Macaca mulatta: one gene and its partners. The protein of the gene in region 2 interacts with the protein of the main gene of each other region in a pairwise test. Links are inferred from orthologs where the notes say so. Each region holds a gene or a part of one and is shown on either strand. Other genes may lie near its edges.

The links.
Region 1: the proteins of LRP2 (region 2) and MAPK8IP2 interact in a two-hybrid assay, tested with the Homo sapiens proteins (2 studies listed by BioGRID). The link is inferred for Macaca mulatta from reciprocal best matches to the Homo sapiens genes LRP2 and MAPK8IP2.
Region 3: the proteins of LRP2 (region 2) and MAPK8IP1 interact in a two-hybrid assay, tested with the Homo sapiens proteins (2 studies listed by BioGRID). The link is inferred for Macaca mulatta from reciprocal best matches to the Homo sapiens genes LRP2 and MAPK8IP1.

Annotation. Positions count from the first base shown.
Region 1 is NC_133415.1:843,241-847,359, reverse strand, and holds part of MAPK8IP2 (C-Jun-amino-terminal kinase-interacting protein 2), read left to right. Parts: coding exon 1-191; intron 192-324; coding exon 325-418; intron 419-540; coding exon 541-1,767; intron 1,768-2,081; coding exon 2,082-2,157; intron 2,158-2,275; coding exon 2,276-2,448; intron 2,449-2,538; coding exon 2,539-2,648; intron 2,649-3,404; coding exon 3,405-3,512; intron 3,513-3,667; coding exon 3,668-3,738; intron 3,739-4,119. UniProt on the Homo sapiens protein: The JNK-interacting protein (JIP) group of scaffold proteins selectively mediates JNK signaling by aggregating specific components of the MAPK cascade to form a functional JNK signaling module.
Region 2 is NC_133417.1:74,276,498-74,281,242, reverse strand, and holds the start of LRP2 (low-density lipoprotein receptor-related protein 2), read left to right. Parts: upstream 1-1,439; 5' UTR 1,440-1,973; coding exon 1,974-2,052; intron 2,053-4,745. UniProt on the Homo sapiens protein: Multiligand endocytic receptor. Acts together with CUBN to mediate endocytosis of high-density lipoproteins. Mediates receptor-mediated uptake of polybasic drugs such as aprotinin, aminoglycosides and polymyxin B.
Region 3 is NC_133419.1:19,710,687-19,715,595, forward strand, and holds the end of MAPK8IP1 (C-Jun-amino-terminal kinase-interacting protein 1), read right to left. Parts: coding exon 4,203-4,909; intron 4,022-4,202; coding exon 3,946-4,021; intron 3,399-3,945; coding exon 3,184-3,398; exon of another isoform or gene 3,162-3,183; intron 3,040-3,161; exon of another isoform or gene 2,981-3,039; coding exon 2,823-2,980; intron 2,664-2,822; coding exon 2,547-2,663; intron 2,411-2,546; coding exon 2,340-2,410; exon of another isoform or gene 2,231-2,339; coding exon 2,132-2,230; exon of another isoform or gene 1,734-2,131; coding exon 1,661-1,733; 3' UTR 925-1,660; downstream 1-924. Other genes in the region: FREY1 (protein Frey 1), read left to right, coding at 284-524, 696-817. UniProt on the Homo sapiens protein: The JNK-interacting protein (JIP) group of scaffold proteins selectively mediates JNK signaling by aggregating specific components of the MAPK cascade to form a functional JNK signaling module. Required for JNK activation in response to excitotoxic stress.

The DNA of each region.
Region 1 (4,119 bases), on a different chromosome or scaffold from region 2:
ACAATGAAGAGGAGGACGATGAGGACGAGGAAGAGGAGGAGGAGGAGGAGGAGGGAGATGAGGAAGGCCAGGAGGGAGGAGACCCTGGCTCAGAGGCACCTGCCCCTGGTCCCCTTATCCCCTCCCCTTCTCTGGAGGAGCCCCATAAGCACCGGCCAACCACCCTCCGTCTGACCACACTGGGGGCCCAGGTGAGTGCCCCGACCCACAGCTCCTTGGAGCTGAGCCTGGGTTCATAGCACCTGGGACTCTGCAGCCAGCCCTGCTCACCCCCTGGGAGCTGGAGGCCCTCCTCAGGACGGCCATCATGTATCTCCACCCCAGGACTCCCTGAACAACAACGGAGGCTTTGACCTGGTGCCTCCGGCCTCCTGGCAAGAGACAGCGCTGTGCTCACCCGCCCCGGAGGCCCTCAGAGGTGAGGGGTGGTGGGCCCGCGGGCCACGGTGAAGTGGGGGGGGGGGAGGGGAGGGAGGATGGGCTGGTTGCTGAAAGAGGCCTGGATGGTGCAGAGAGGGTGACCCCCACCTCCCTGCCCAGCAGAGCCCCCGGGCCCCCTCCCTCCCACGGACACAGGGCCCGGCGGGACGCAGTCGCCAGTGCGCCCGGGTTGCGACTGCGAAGGGAACCGGCCTGCGGAACCCCCGGCGCCAGGGGGGACTTCGCCCTCCTCAGATCCCGGCATCGAGGCTGACCTGAGAAGCCGCTCGAGCGGGGGCCACGGGGGACGTCGCAGCAGCCAGGAGCTGTCCTCGCCCGGCTCCGACTCAGAGGACGCGGGCGGCGCGCGCCTAGGGCGCATGATCTCGTCCATCTCGGAGACGGAGCTGGAGCTGAGCAGCGACGGCGGAAGCAGCAGCAGCGGCCGCTCCTCGCACCTCACCAACTCCATCGAGGAGGCCTCGTCGCCCGCCTCGGAGCCGGAGCCCCCGCGCGAACCCCCGCGCCGCCCCGCCTTCCTGCCCGTGGGTCCCGACGACACCAACAGCGAGTACGAGTCGGGGTCGGAGTCGGAGCCGGACCTCAGCGAGGACGCGGACTCGCCCTGGCTGCTCAGCAACCTGGTGAGCCGCATGATCTCCGAGGGCTCCTCGCCCATCCGCTGCCCCGGCCAGTGCCTGTCTCCGGCGCCGCGCCCGCCCGGGGAGCCCGTGTCGCCGGCCGGCGGGGCTGCCCAGGACTCCCAGGACCCCGAGGCGGCCGCGGGGCCCGGCGACGTGGAGCTGGTGGACATGGAGACGCTGTGCGCGCCGCCGCCGCCTGCGCCCGCCGCGCCTCGACCCGGCCCCGCGCAGCCCGGGCCCTGCCTGTTCCTCAGCAACCCCACGCGTGACACCATCACGCCGCTGTGGGCCGCGCCCGGCCGCGCTGCCCGCCCGGGCCGAGCCTGCTCCGCCGCCTGCTCTGAGGAGGAGGACGAAGAGGACGACGAGGAAGAGGAGGATGCCGAGGACAGTGCGGGGCCCCCCGGGGGCAGGGGCACGGACCCCTCGGCGCCGCGGGACGCCTCGCTGGTGTATGACGCGGTCAAGTACACGCTGGTGGTGGACGAGCATACGCAGCTGGAGCTGGTGAGCCTGCGGCGCTGCGCCGGGCTGGGCCACGACAGCGAAGAGGACAGCAGCGGGGAGGCCAGCGAGGAGGAGGTGGGCGCAGCGCTGCTAGGCGGTGGTCAGGTCCCGGGGGACACCTCGCCGGACAGCCCTGACCTCACTTTCTCCAAGAAGTTCCTCAATGTCTTCGTCAACAGCACATCCCGGTCCTCCAGTGAGTGACAGGCAGGGAAAAGGGGGGTGACCCAGAGGAACATGCGGAGTCCCTGGCCCCAGTCCCAGGCTCCCCCACAGTGCCCGGGGCCACCTGAGGGTCTGGCCATGGTCAGGGCTGGGCGCCCTCTCCCATCCAGGACATGGCATGAGGTGGCCTGCTCTGCCTCAGCCCCTTCCTGCTCCCAGGACACCCACACCGGCCTGCAGAGGGGACTCCACCTCTGCCCGAGGCCAGGCCTCTAAACATTCTTTCCCCTACTCTGCCTCTCTGTCTCCCTGTCTTCCCCACCTCTGTCCCATCTGGTCTCCCAGGCACCGAGTCCTTTGGCCTTTTCTCCTGTCTGGTCAACGGTGAGGAGCGAGAGCAGACCCACAGGGCTGTGTTCAGGTACAGCCTCCCTCCTTGCTGGCGGTGGCCCCAGCCTCAGTCCGTGCCATCCCAGGACGCCAATGGACACGACCCTCAATCCCGCCCCCCTCCCCAGTGACCTCTCCCCCAACGGCAGGTTCATCCCGCGGCATCCAGACGAACTGGAGCTGGACGTGGATGACCCCGTGTTGGTGGAGGCCGAGGAGGATGACTTCTGGTTCCGTGGCTTCAACATGCGTACGGGGGAGCGCGGTGTGTTCCCTGCCTTCTACGCCCATGCGGTTCCCGGCCCTGCCAAGGACCTGCTGGGTGAGGTCCCAACCCCGAGGGGTGGCGTGTCACCCCAGATCCTCCCCTAGGCCCCTGCCTGACCTGGGCCCTCTGTGCCCCCCTCCCCAGGGAGCAAGCGGAGTCCCTGCTGGGTGGAGCGCTTTGATGTGCAGTTCCTGGGCTCTGTGGAGGTGCCCTGCCACCAGGGCAATGGCATCCTATGTGCAGCCATGCAGAAGGTCAGTGTGGAGGCCGGGCAAGTGCAAGCTGAGGGTTCGCATGGTGGCCCCACCAGCACTGCAGGCTGGCACAGGGCCTTGAGGCTCCAAGGCGTCTGATTTCCTCCAGGGAGGGTGTGGGGGATGCTGCAGGGGTAGCTCTGGATGGGTACCCCAGGCCCTGGTTCAGAGGCCTGAGCAGGTGAGTCTAGGGCAGAGCTCAGCAGCTGTCCCTCATTACTTCTGGGTCTCTGGGCCACAGATCTTCCAGTTGGCCCCGAGTGCCATCAGCCCTTCCTCTTCCTGTCTGGAATCAAGACCAGCCCTCACAGCCCCTTCCCTGGGAGCCCTCTACTCATCCACTCACTCAGTGGACGTTTAGTGCGCGCCTGCCCATGCACCAGTACTGAGACTGAGGCTGGGGGGTGGTAGGGAGCAGGGCAGAGCAGCCCTGCCTCTGAGAGCTCCCTGGAGCTTGTAGGGCCAGGCAGTGAAGAGGCCAGGGTGGGTGGGGTCTGTGTTCCTGGCTCCTGAGCCCAGAGCAGCACCCTGCCTGGAGGAGCAGAAGGAAGATGAAGCACGCTGACTGCTTCCCCTGAGCCTGAGAAGTGGCCAAGGCCACTCCCTTATGTCTTCCAGAATTGCATCTCAGGAGTCCTCAGCATGCATGTCCTCAAACATAAGCTAAAAGGAGCAGAGGCGTATGTAGTCCCACCAAGGGGAAAGAAAGATGCCCTTGTGGGCCCCTCAGGACCCTCTTCTCCCCCAACTTCTTAGATTGCCACTGCCCGGAAACTGACTGTCCACCTGCGCCCTCCTGCCTCCTGTGACCTCGAGATCTCTCTTCGGGGGGTCAAGCTGAGTCTGAGCGGAGGAGGGCCCGAGGTGGGGGCTTGGGGGACTGGGGACAGGGGACGGGGGGGTAGGGTTAAGCCACGGAGTCAGACGGGGCCAGGCTGGCAGGGGTGTCAGGCAGGCGGGAGGCAGGGGTGGCCCCAGGCTTCCTCTAACACGGGGGCTTCTGCCCACCTCTGCTGTAGTTCCAGCGCTGCAGCCATTTCTTCCAGATGAAGAACATCTCCTTCTGCGGCTGCCACCCCCGAAACAGCTGGTAAGATTCCAACCATCCCCGAGTCCCCACAAACCCGCAACTCCCCGAGTCCCCCAACTGCCCCCGAGTTCCCCAACCACCCCACAAACGCTGAGAGTCCAACCACCCCCGGAGTCCCCACAAACCCCGAGGGCTGCCTAACCATCCCCCAAGTCCCCACAGACCCTGAGGGCCGCTCGTGCCCAACCCTGAGAGCTCCACCTGCACCCACTTGGCTCTCTGAGCTGAGTGTGCAGTGACGCCCGCTCTGAGCTGGACTCAGGAGGCGCAGGTCAGACAGGCTTGCATCTGGTCTGGGTGGAGAGAGGCACACGGGCGAAGGATGTGAGAAGCCTGTGTGGGTGTGGAGGATGCCTGAGTGGGCCCTGGGGAGCAGACCCC
Region 2 (4,745 bases):
GTCGCGCCCCCTCGCCGCCTCCCTCCTCCCGCTCGGGTCGGGTCGCCCCCTCCCTCCCCAGCCCCCAACCATCTTGTCCCCAGTCCTGTCTCCTCCGCGCCGCACAGCGCCCAACACTGTGCAGGGAGGCAAATAGAGATCCAGTGACTTTGGCCAGAGCACAGACCCATGGATTTCCCAATCCAGGAATCTCTCCCACTCTTTCCCACAACGCTCCCCACTCCACCTTTTTTTCTTGAAGCCTAAGTTTTCTCTTTTTGTGTGTATTTATCTCTTTTTGTCTTTCCAAAGTAACACCTATCCTTTCCCTCCCCTAGCCCCCACACCTAAAGCTGCGCCTACCACTGCAGCCCAGGGAAGCTACGCGATCCGGACTGTTGGGGTCAGCAGAACCCCAGAAGACCGGTGCCCCGGGAAAAGGCGCTGGCAGTAATTGTCAGGTTCTCGCCCCCGGGGAAGGGAGGCAGCGGGAACCTGTCCAGCGACCACGTGCGTTCAGGGCTGTCTCCTCCCTGCGTCACGGCTCCCTCTCTGGAGGGAAAGGGCTCCTGACTTCTTGGACCAGGATCCGGCGCCTGGGACTAGCCGCCGCGCTGGTTCAGGGGCTGGAGCTGGAAATGATGGGATGGCCTCAGGTCCCCAAACAGCCCCTCCTCACACAGGGTCCCCAACACCGGGAAATAAGTCGCATCAGCCCTCCTTTCCCCACCTCCCGTGGGCTCTGATGTCACGTACAGGCTGAGGACCGCGCGCTGAGGGCGGGTGTAAGGCCACTTGTGCTTTTGGGGTCTGGGCCGCTTGCCAGCCTGTCCAAAGCTGCCCCAAAGAAGGGAGTCGCGGGGTTCCCTGAACCTCTCGTGTTTCTTCTTATAAAGGGGTACCGGAAGCATGGAGAAGACGTTCGCTCTTTTTCAATTTTGCTTCAAAATGAACAGACTTGTAAGAAGCGCGATCTGGCCATGACACCTGTAGATGTGGTGCTGAATAATTGCTAAATAAGGATCCAACCTCCCCAACAAAGATCCACCTCCCTCTCTAATTTGTAAAAACACAGAGCACCCCATCTCAGCAGCCTGTATCCTATCAGGGGAAACCAGGATATCCGAAGGAGCCTAGAGAGATCAGGCCAGGAATGAAGGTCACAGATCTCCATCCAGCAGGCTCTTTACTCCTTCTCTTCCCTACCTCCGCCTCTTTCCCTTTCTTTCTGTCCTTCATTTCCACTTGTCTGGTTTTTCTTTCCTTTTTCATTTCTTATTTTTTCTTTCTCTTCTCTATTCTTGACTTTCCTCCTTGTCCATTCTTTTCCATTGCTCATTTAGTAAAACTGCGTCCGTGCAGATTTCCCCATGAGTCGCCTCGCCGGCTTCTCTGCCCGGCGAACCCTGCGGAGAGGCGAGGGCAGCGCGTGTGCACGTGTGAGTGTGCCTGTGAGAGTGTGCGCATCGGAGTGTGCTCGTGTATGCACGCTTAAAGGGGACTATGTATGTTGGCGTGGAAGTGTGACTGTGGAATGTGCGCGCGTGTGTGACTGGCGTGTATGAGTGAATCTGTGAATCTGTGTCAGTTGGTGTGACACTTAGGAGTGCATGCGGCTGTATGAGTGCGTGTGTGAGTGTGCACACGCCTGTGGGGTGTCCATGTGTGAGTGCGCGTGTGTTCGAGTGCCCACTCCTCCCCGCGCTGCAAAGTGCAGGGGGCGGGCCGGGCGGCAGGGGGCCTGCCCGCTGGATTCCCGCATGCTTGTTCCGGGGCGGTCGGGTCTAAAGGGCTTTATGCACTGTCTGGAGGGTGGGGACTGGCGCGGGTAGAAAACGGGATGCCTCGGGCGCGGGTGCAGGCTTTTGGTCACTAGGAGCTGGCGGAGGTGCAGACCTAAAGGAGCGTTCGCTAGCAGAGGCGCTGCCGGTGTGGTGTGCTACGCGCACCCACCTCCCGGGGAAGGAACGGCGAGGCCGGGGACCGTCGCGGGGATGGATCGCGGGCCGGCAGCAGTGGCGTGCACGCTGCTCCTGGCTCTCGTCGCCTGCTTAGCGCCGGCCAGTGGCCAAGGTAAGCCCCCGGCCGGAGCTTCTCGTGAAGCGCCCACTTCCCCGGCTGTGGCAGGGTCGGGTCCGCGGGAGGCCGGAGGGGAGCGCGGCCGGGCAGAGGCTAGGGCCTGGCGGCGGCGCGGGAGCTGCTCCCGGTGGGGCGCTCAGGTTGCTTCGCGAACCCGGAGCGGGAGCGCCCCTCCTTCGCTCACCACGAACTGAGCGGCAGCAAACTTGAGAAAGCAGCCCCGCCAGTTTCGGTGACAGCGCACCCCACGGAGACCCTGTCTTTGTTCCCACGGGCGTTTGTCCGACCCTCCTGGAAAGCACTTTACAGGAGAACGAGGTTCTCTGCGGTTTGCAGCTTGCTCTCCCAAGCGGAGTTCTCTCCTGGGCGGCGCGGTCCCGGGCTCTGCTCCGAGCGCAGCATTCCACCTGCAGCGCCCCTCCCGGGATCCCTTCGCGCGCCCAGGGCCGCGGGCCAGAGCACCCCTCCCACCACTGGTGAAACTTGGTCCCGCGGTGACCCCCAGAGACCGCTCTCACCGTACAGATCATTTACGAGCCAAGATAAGGCCGGGAGGTGGGATTGGCTGAGAGCGGCTGAGGGACTGGAGTCTTTTCTTGAAGTTTTCCTTTCCAGCTGGGAGCTGGGGGCTTTTGTGTTGATGAATGGGGCCCGTCTGCATGGCCAGAGTTTTGGGGATCGAATGCAGATAGTTTTTGGTATGAAGCGCTTTAAACTTCTCTCAAGTTGTCCGAGAGTTTATGTTTTAACAGAAACAGAGAAGAGAGAAAGAGAGGGAGAAAGAAACGGAGAGAATAAAAGTAGTAAGAAGGGAAGAGGAAAAGCAAATATAGAGGAATAAGGAAAGAAGGAGGGGAGAGAGAACGACTGGGGCGGGGGAAGAGAGAGAGAGAGGAAAGAGAGAGAGAGAGAGAGAGAGAGAGAGAGAGAGAGAGAGAGACCGAGACCCGACCGAGGATGAATGGGAAGGGCGAGGAGGAGGCTGGAACCGGCGAGCTCTCCCCCTGGCTTTGCGTTGCTAGGTAGCAGCCAGGAGCTGCGTGTGACCGACCACCAGACAGACAGAGGGGACGCTGCTGCCACCGCGGGGACTAATCTGTCTGTGGGGATGGGAGAGTCCCCCCTTTCCCCTCCTGCTCCTTCCCTCCCGTCGGACAACTTAATTGCCCTACAATGAAAATGAAACCCCTATTGTTGTAGGATTAGCCAAAGCAATAAATTGATTTTCCTGGATCACATATTGGGGTTGACGGGTGGGGAATGTGGAAGCCCCCATTTACGGAGGAGTGAGGGGAGGGCTTGTGGATGGGCCGTGGCATGTATTCAAATGGTTAATCTGCTTTCTTTCCTCAATTCTTAGCGTAAGCTCCTTAGAGGGAATCAAGTAAGTAATTATACAGCAACTCCTAGCAGCACCCATTTCAGACTTCCTGGGAAGAAGTTTGGAAACGCTAACAAACCCCACGGGTCTTGCAAAAGTCTTCGGAAAGGCAGGAGAGGCAGGGAGAGATCATTAATAATCTTCCTTTGAACACCCTTTCTCAGTGTTGGTAACACAGAAAGAGGGTTTTATTACTATTGTGCAGAGTTTGCACAATGCTTAGGGTTATATCTCATGTCCTAAATATAGTTATAGGATTTACTATATGGTCCTGTCAGTGCCTGGCAAAAGGAAATCTTACCTTGATTCATCTATGCCCTTGTACAACCAAAAAAGATATTCTTTTTCCTGGGTTGATGGTTTAGTCACTAAATAACCAACACCTACTCTTCTTGATAGTTTTTTGCACCCGTCCATCTTCCATTCTATGATAATAATATATAATAATAATGTGTATAGTAATAGTAATCCATCATACACATATATGTTGCAGGCTTTGTTCTAAGCACTTTATACTTATTGACTCAGTTAATCTTCATAATATCCCTTGGAAGTAAGTACTCTTATTATCACTGTTTTACAGATGAGAAAGTGGAGGCACAGAGCAATTCAGTAATTTGTCTCAGTTCATACTGCTAGAAAATGGCGAACTAAAGGGATTCTGAATTCAGAGTCTGTAATTGCTACAGTACACAGTATATGTTCTCTCTCTCTCTGTCTCTCTCTCTTTTTTTTTTTTTTTTTTTTCTGAGAGACCGAGTCTCGCTTTGTCACCCAGGCTGGAGTGCAGTGTGCAATCTCGGCTCACTGCAACCTCTGCCTCCCGGGTTCAAGCGATCCTCACACCTCAGCCTCCCAAGTAGCTGGGACTACAAGCCCTGGGGAGTATGCCCGGCTAATATTTTGTATTTTTAGTAGAGACAGGGTTTTGCTATGTTGGCCAGGCTGGTCTTGAACTCCTGACCTCAAGTGATCTGCCCGCCTCGGCCTCCCAGAGTGCTAGGATTACGGACGTGAGTCACCGCGCCTGGCCCAATTTCTTTTTTCTTTTGTACAAAAAATGTCATGCTCCCTAAGTTACTGTCCATGTGTGAGGTTCCTAAAGAAACTGAGGGGCAATATGCAACTCCTTACCACCTGCTGCTTCATAACTGTGGATCTTTTTCCAGAATCTCTCCTCAGGTTTCTAAGAACTGAACCCAAGTTTTCTCATTCCCAGTCCTCCTACTTGATCATTTTAAGATGCATTTCCTCTGAATGTCCTCAGCCTGATATGTTGAGATTTCTAGAATCCTGTTGTAATGAT
Region 3 (4,909 bases), on a different chromosome or scaffold from region 2:
AAGCCTCAGGGTGGAGGTTGCTGGCCCTGCAGGTGCTGACGCAAGCCTGGAATGAAGGCCCTTTGTGAGGTGGCCCTGGGAACTGGCAACAGGTTCCGTCCTGCCAGGAGAGGGACGACAGGAGCTGGGACCTGTGTAGGAGATGGTTCTCGCCATGCTGGGGGCTCTGCACCCCCGGGCTGGGCTCAGCCTCTTCCTCCACCTTATCCTGGCAGTGGCACTGCTTCACTCCCAGCCTCTGAGGTGACTCCTGGGGCACGGAGGGGCAGGGCACTCGGGCTGGATGGCAGAGGTGCTGCCCCTCCCCTCTCTGGAGTGGGGCTGGCTGGCCCTGGTACCCTGGGTGTTGGAGGGCTTGCCAAGTGCCCCCACACTGGGCCATCCCCCCATTCACAAGGAGGTGGCGGTGGCTTTCTGGGCCAGGGCCGAGCACCCCAACCTCTCCCACAGGTCTCAGCAGTCTGTTCCTGAGGCATTTTCCGCACCCCTGGAACTCTCACAGCCACTCTCCGGCCTGGTGGATGGTAGTATCTCTCTCGTCCCCTTCCCCTTCCCCTTCCCCTGCCCCTCCCTGACAGTGGAGACTCCCCTAAGGGGTGCCCCAAGTCCAGCCTTCAGGGGCTTGTCATCCCAAACCACATATGTTCAAGGGTGCCAGCTGCCCCTCCCACCCATGCCCTCCTTTCTCTCTCTAGACTATGGCATCCTCCCCAAGCACCCGTGGCCGCGAGGGCCTCGACCCCGCCTGTCCCGGGCCCAGCAGCGCAAGCGGGATGGGCCCGACCTTGCTGAGTATTACTACGACGCACACCTATGACCCAAGGCCCCCATAAAGATACTACACATGACAAAGGCTTGGCTTTCCTGGGCTGGGAGTGAGATGGGGACAGGAGGAGTCCATACAGATACATCCACTGCAGTCCAGACAGGAAATGGCACTTTAATAGTTGGGGCCAGGGTGACAGGACCAAGATGGGGCTGGCCTGTGTCAGTCAGGAAGCCTCCCTCCTGCTGGGACAGGGCCTTGCGGCAGCTCCTCCTCCCCACTGAGGTCCTAGGCCTGCCACAGGCCAGCATGCCGGTGAGGTCAGTGGCAGGAGCCACCCAAAGTCCCGCAAATGACGGAGCTGAGAACGGGGTCTTCACCTCCACGTGTTGCCATTTCCTCACTGGAAAGTCCTTGGGAGGTGGCTGGGCTCAGCCTGAGCTCACGGCTTTTCGGTGGGGGTTGGGGCAGGGGCAGGGTGGGCACTTGCAGGTGGCACAGGCTTCATCAAGGCAGGACACGGGCTTCATCAAGGCAGGAGCCAGAGCGCCCGAGCCCTGGCAGGGGAGGTAAGGCCCAGGATGGGGCAGGGCCATGTGCTCCTGGAATGGACATCCTTCTCTGCCAGAGGCCTGCCCCCCAAGCCCTGCCCCTCCCAATCCCCAGGCAGCCCACTCTGCCCTCCATAGATGAATCTAATCCCATATATTACAATAAACCGCATTTGCTTCTCCCCATTGCCCCACCCTCCCCTACCCTGGGCCAGCAGCCCCCACTTCCTCATCCCCTGGTGGTAGCAGGTGCCCCTCCTCAAGCAGTGCCACATCCTGTCAGCAGCCAGCTGTCCTGGCACTGGCCTGAGGGCCGGGGGATGCAGAGGGCGGGGCTGCACGGCTACTCCAGGTAGATATCTTCTGTGGGGCAGGTGTACTCCACAAACTGCTTGTAGAACTGCTGGAATGCTCTCCTAGAAGCCAGGGGACACACAGATGGCTCAGACCGCCACTGGCAAGGGAGGAATGGGATCACGACCCAGGGTTTTCCCACCGGAGCCTTGGGGCCTGAATGCAGCTCTGGTTCCTCTGGCCGGGGCCACTTGGCTCTGTTCTCTACAGAATTGCCATTGCATTTCCCAGTAAGATGTCAGCTGAAGACGTGGCTCAGCAGCTACCAAGCCTGGAAGCCACTCCTCAGGCTCGCCCTGCCCTGCCACCCTCCCTCCAGGCCACTGCACTGGGGTCTGGAGATGGTTCTCCAGAGCTGCGGGGGAAACCAAGGGGCAAAGCTGAGCACCAGGAAGCAGCCCTAGGGCCTGGGATGAGGTGTGCTCCCTCGGGCTGGGTGCTCAGCAGGATGCACACGTACCCCACGGACTCTGCCAGGGCTTTGGTGGAGTCTTCAGACACAAAGACATGGCAGGCAAACCGGTGGTCGGCGGGGTGCTTGGTGATGAACCCAAAGTACCTGCAGGGACAGGTCTGTCTGTGCTGGGACAGGGGCTCGGCCCACACCCAACCACCTGAAGGCTGCAGACCAGCCGTGCCTCCTCCACTGCCATCCCACCCCCACTTACTTGTTGTTCTTTGGATGATATCCACAGAAAGAGATGTTTTTTAACTGGAAAAAGTGGCTACATTTATTCCCCTACAGGAGGGAGAAAAGAAGCAAGAGGGCGGTCACCTGGCCTGCAATGAGGGTGAGAGGAGACGGCCTCTTCACTCCAAGTCTTGGGGGAAAGCTGGGGGCCATGGAAGGAAGGGGCTGGGTTGGGAGGAGTCACCTTGGCCTCCTGGGAGTCATCGGCCTTGACGCCTATCTTCACGCCCCGCACGCTGATCTCCAGGACGCAGCTGGAGGGTGGGTTAAAGTGCACGGTGAGCCGGCGGGTGGTGGCAATCTATAGGTGACACACGGAGCCACGTCAGCTGCTGTCTGTTCCTCTGCTGATCCCTCCTGTCCCAGGGCCTGAGCCCTGAGGCCTTTACTGCCTCTAGACACCTGTATTCCTCTGCCCCAGGGAGCATCCAAGGGAGGAGAAGGGAGAGGGCTCAGGTACCTTTTGCATAGCGGCACAGAGGACGTCATTGCCCTTGTGATAGGGAACCTGGACTGAGCCCAGGAACTTCACCCGGAACTGGTCCACCCAGTCACTGTTTTTGGCCAGGGCTGGAAAGCAAGTGTGAATTGAGGAGGGGCAGAAACAGCAGGAGGGAGCTGAGCAGCCAAGCGAAGGAGGGCGGGTAAGGCACAGGGAATGGCAGAGCCCACACAGGCTGCCACAATCCCTGGCTGCCCAACTTGGCCGGGCCTCACTTTGCTCGATCGTGAAAAGGACCTAAAATCACCTCCACTCAGCCCCCCACCTGTCTGGCTAAGATCTGGAGTACACGTTCACCCAGCAGCAAGTCAGGGCAGACAGATGTGGTGGCTGGGGGCACAGGCCAGGCAGGGAACGCTACCTGCCATGTGCTCGGGCTCCTTGGTGACCTCGATGGCGTAATAGGCAGGAAAGACGCCCCGGGCACCGGTGCGCATGTTGTAGGCCTCGTACCAGTAGTCTTCAGCCTGGAGCTCCACTAGCAGAGGGTCATCCACTTCCAGCTCAAGTTCGTCTTCGTGTCGAGGCACAAACCTGTCCCCAGCAAGGACAGGTGAGAAATTCGGCACCAGGGCCTGTCCGGCCAGGCCTACTCTGCAGTCTGGGAGCCACAGCAGCATCGTCATTTCAGTAAACATTTGCAAAAGCATCCTGTGTGCCTGTGGCAGTGCTAACCCCAGGGGAGAGCAAGGTCAAGCAAACATGCGTCTGCCGTTGAGGAAACACAGGCCAAGGGAGGGTGCGGGCAGGGACCCTCTAAAATGGAGAGGCTGTGGGAAGCGCAGGCTTTTGTCTAGAGAAGGGTCAGGTGGGGTGTGGGCAGGCATCCTCTTGGTCACCCTCCTGGGTGCCCTGCCCCCGACCAGACTAGGTGCGCAGTCCTGGGATCCCTCACCGTAGCCATCCTCTTTGTCACCATACTCTGAGTCCCTAGAGAGTGGACACTGTCCTCCCAGGGCTGAGTGGATCAACGAATGCTGATGGCAGGGGTTAGGCTGAGGCCATGTAGGGGTGACAAATGGAGGGTGGTGTGTGGCCCAAACTGCTGCGTGGCCAGGCCCAGCCAGCCCATGGCTCTCACCTGAATATGGCCCGGTGGGTCTGCTCCTGCTCCTCCCCATTGATGATGCAGGAGAACAGCCCGAAGGACTCGGCACCTGCAGGTGAGGGGGTATGGCTGGATGGGAGGTCGCAGCTCTGATCCAGGTTTAGCGGGGCAGGTAGAAGCCTCAGTCCTAACCAGATGGGGCCTGGGGTCGCCTCCCAGAACACTTCGCATTTTGGCTCTGTCCCGCTAGGGAACCCCCACCCCCCAACTGCTTCCCCTTGCTGACTCACTGGAGGAGCGGGAGCGGCCACTCATGAAGACGTTCAGGAACTTCTTGGAGAAATGGACGTCGGGTTCGTCAGGCGTGGAATCCTCGGAGAGGCAGGCAGGGGGCTGGGGCCGGGGGGCCTCCTCATATTCCTCTCCGATGGCCGACTCATAGGGCGAGGAGACAGAGGCACAGTTGTCATAGACGGTGGCCGAGTCACTCTCGTCACTGTAGTCTCCGAAGCACGGCCGCAGGCTCACCAGCTCCAGCTGTGCGTGCTCATCCACCACCAGCGTGTACTTGACCGAGTCGTAGGACAGGGCGCTGGTGTCCGAGCTCAGAGACGCCCGTGGAGGTGGCGGCGGCTCCCCCAGGCTCCCCCGCCACCCTCCGCCTGGGGGCTCAGCCCGCTCTGGGGACGACAGGCAGTCGAAGCCCTCCTCCTCTTCACTGATGGAGGGGTGTGGCCGCCCTGCCGTGGAGGGGTAGGCAGCAGGGTCTGGATCGGAGCTGACCGACATCCGGCTCTCAGTGGGAGGCAGGAAGGCGGAGGTGGGCTCTGCAGGGTCTGGGGGCCTCTGCACTGGGGTCAGGTAGATCTCCTCAGTGGCCTCTAGTCGCACATCGGCCTGGTAGTGGATTCGGTCTCGATGCGAGTGGCCCCGACCCCCAGGCGGGGCAGCAGGGGGACCCCCCGGAGGTGCCATCTGGGTGGCTGTGCTGCGGCGG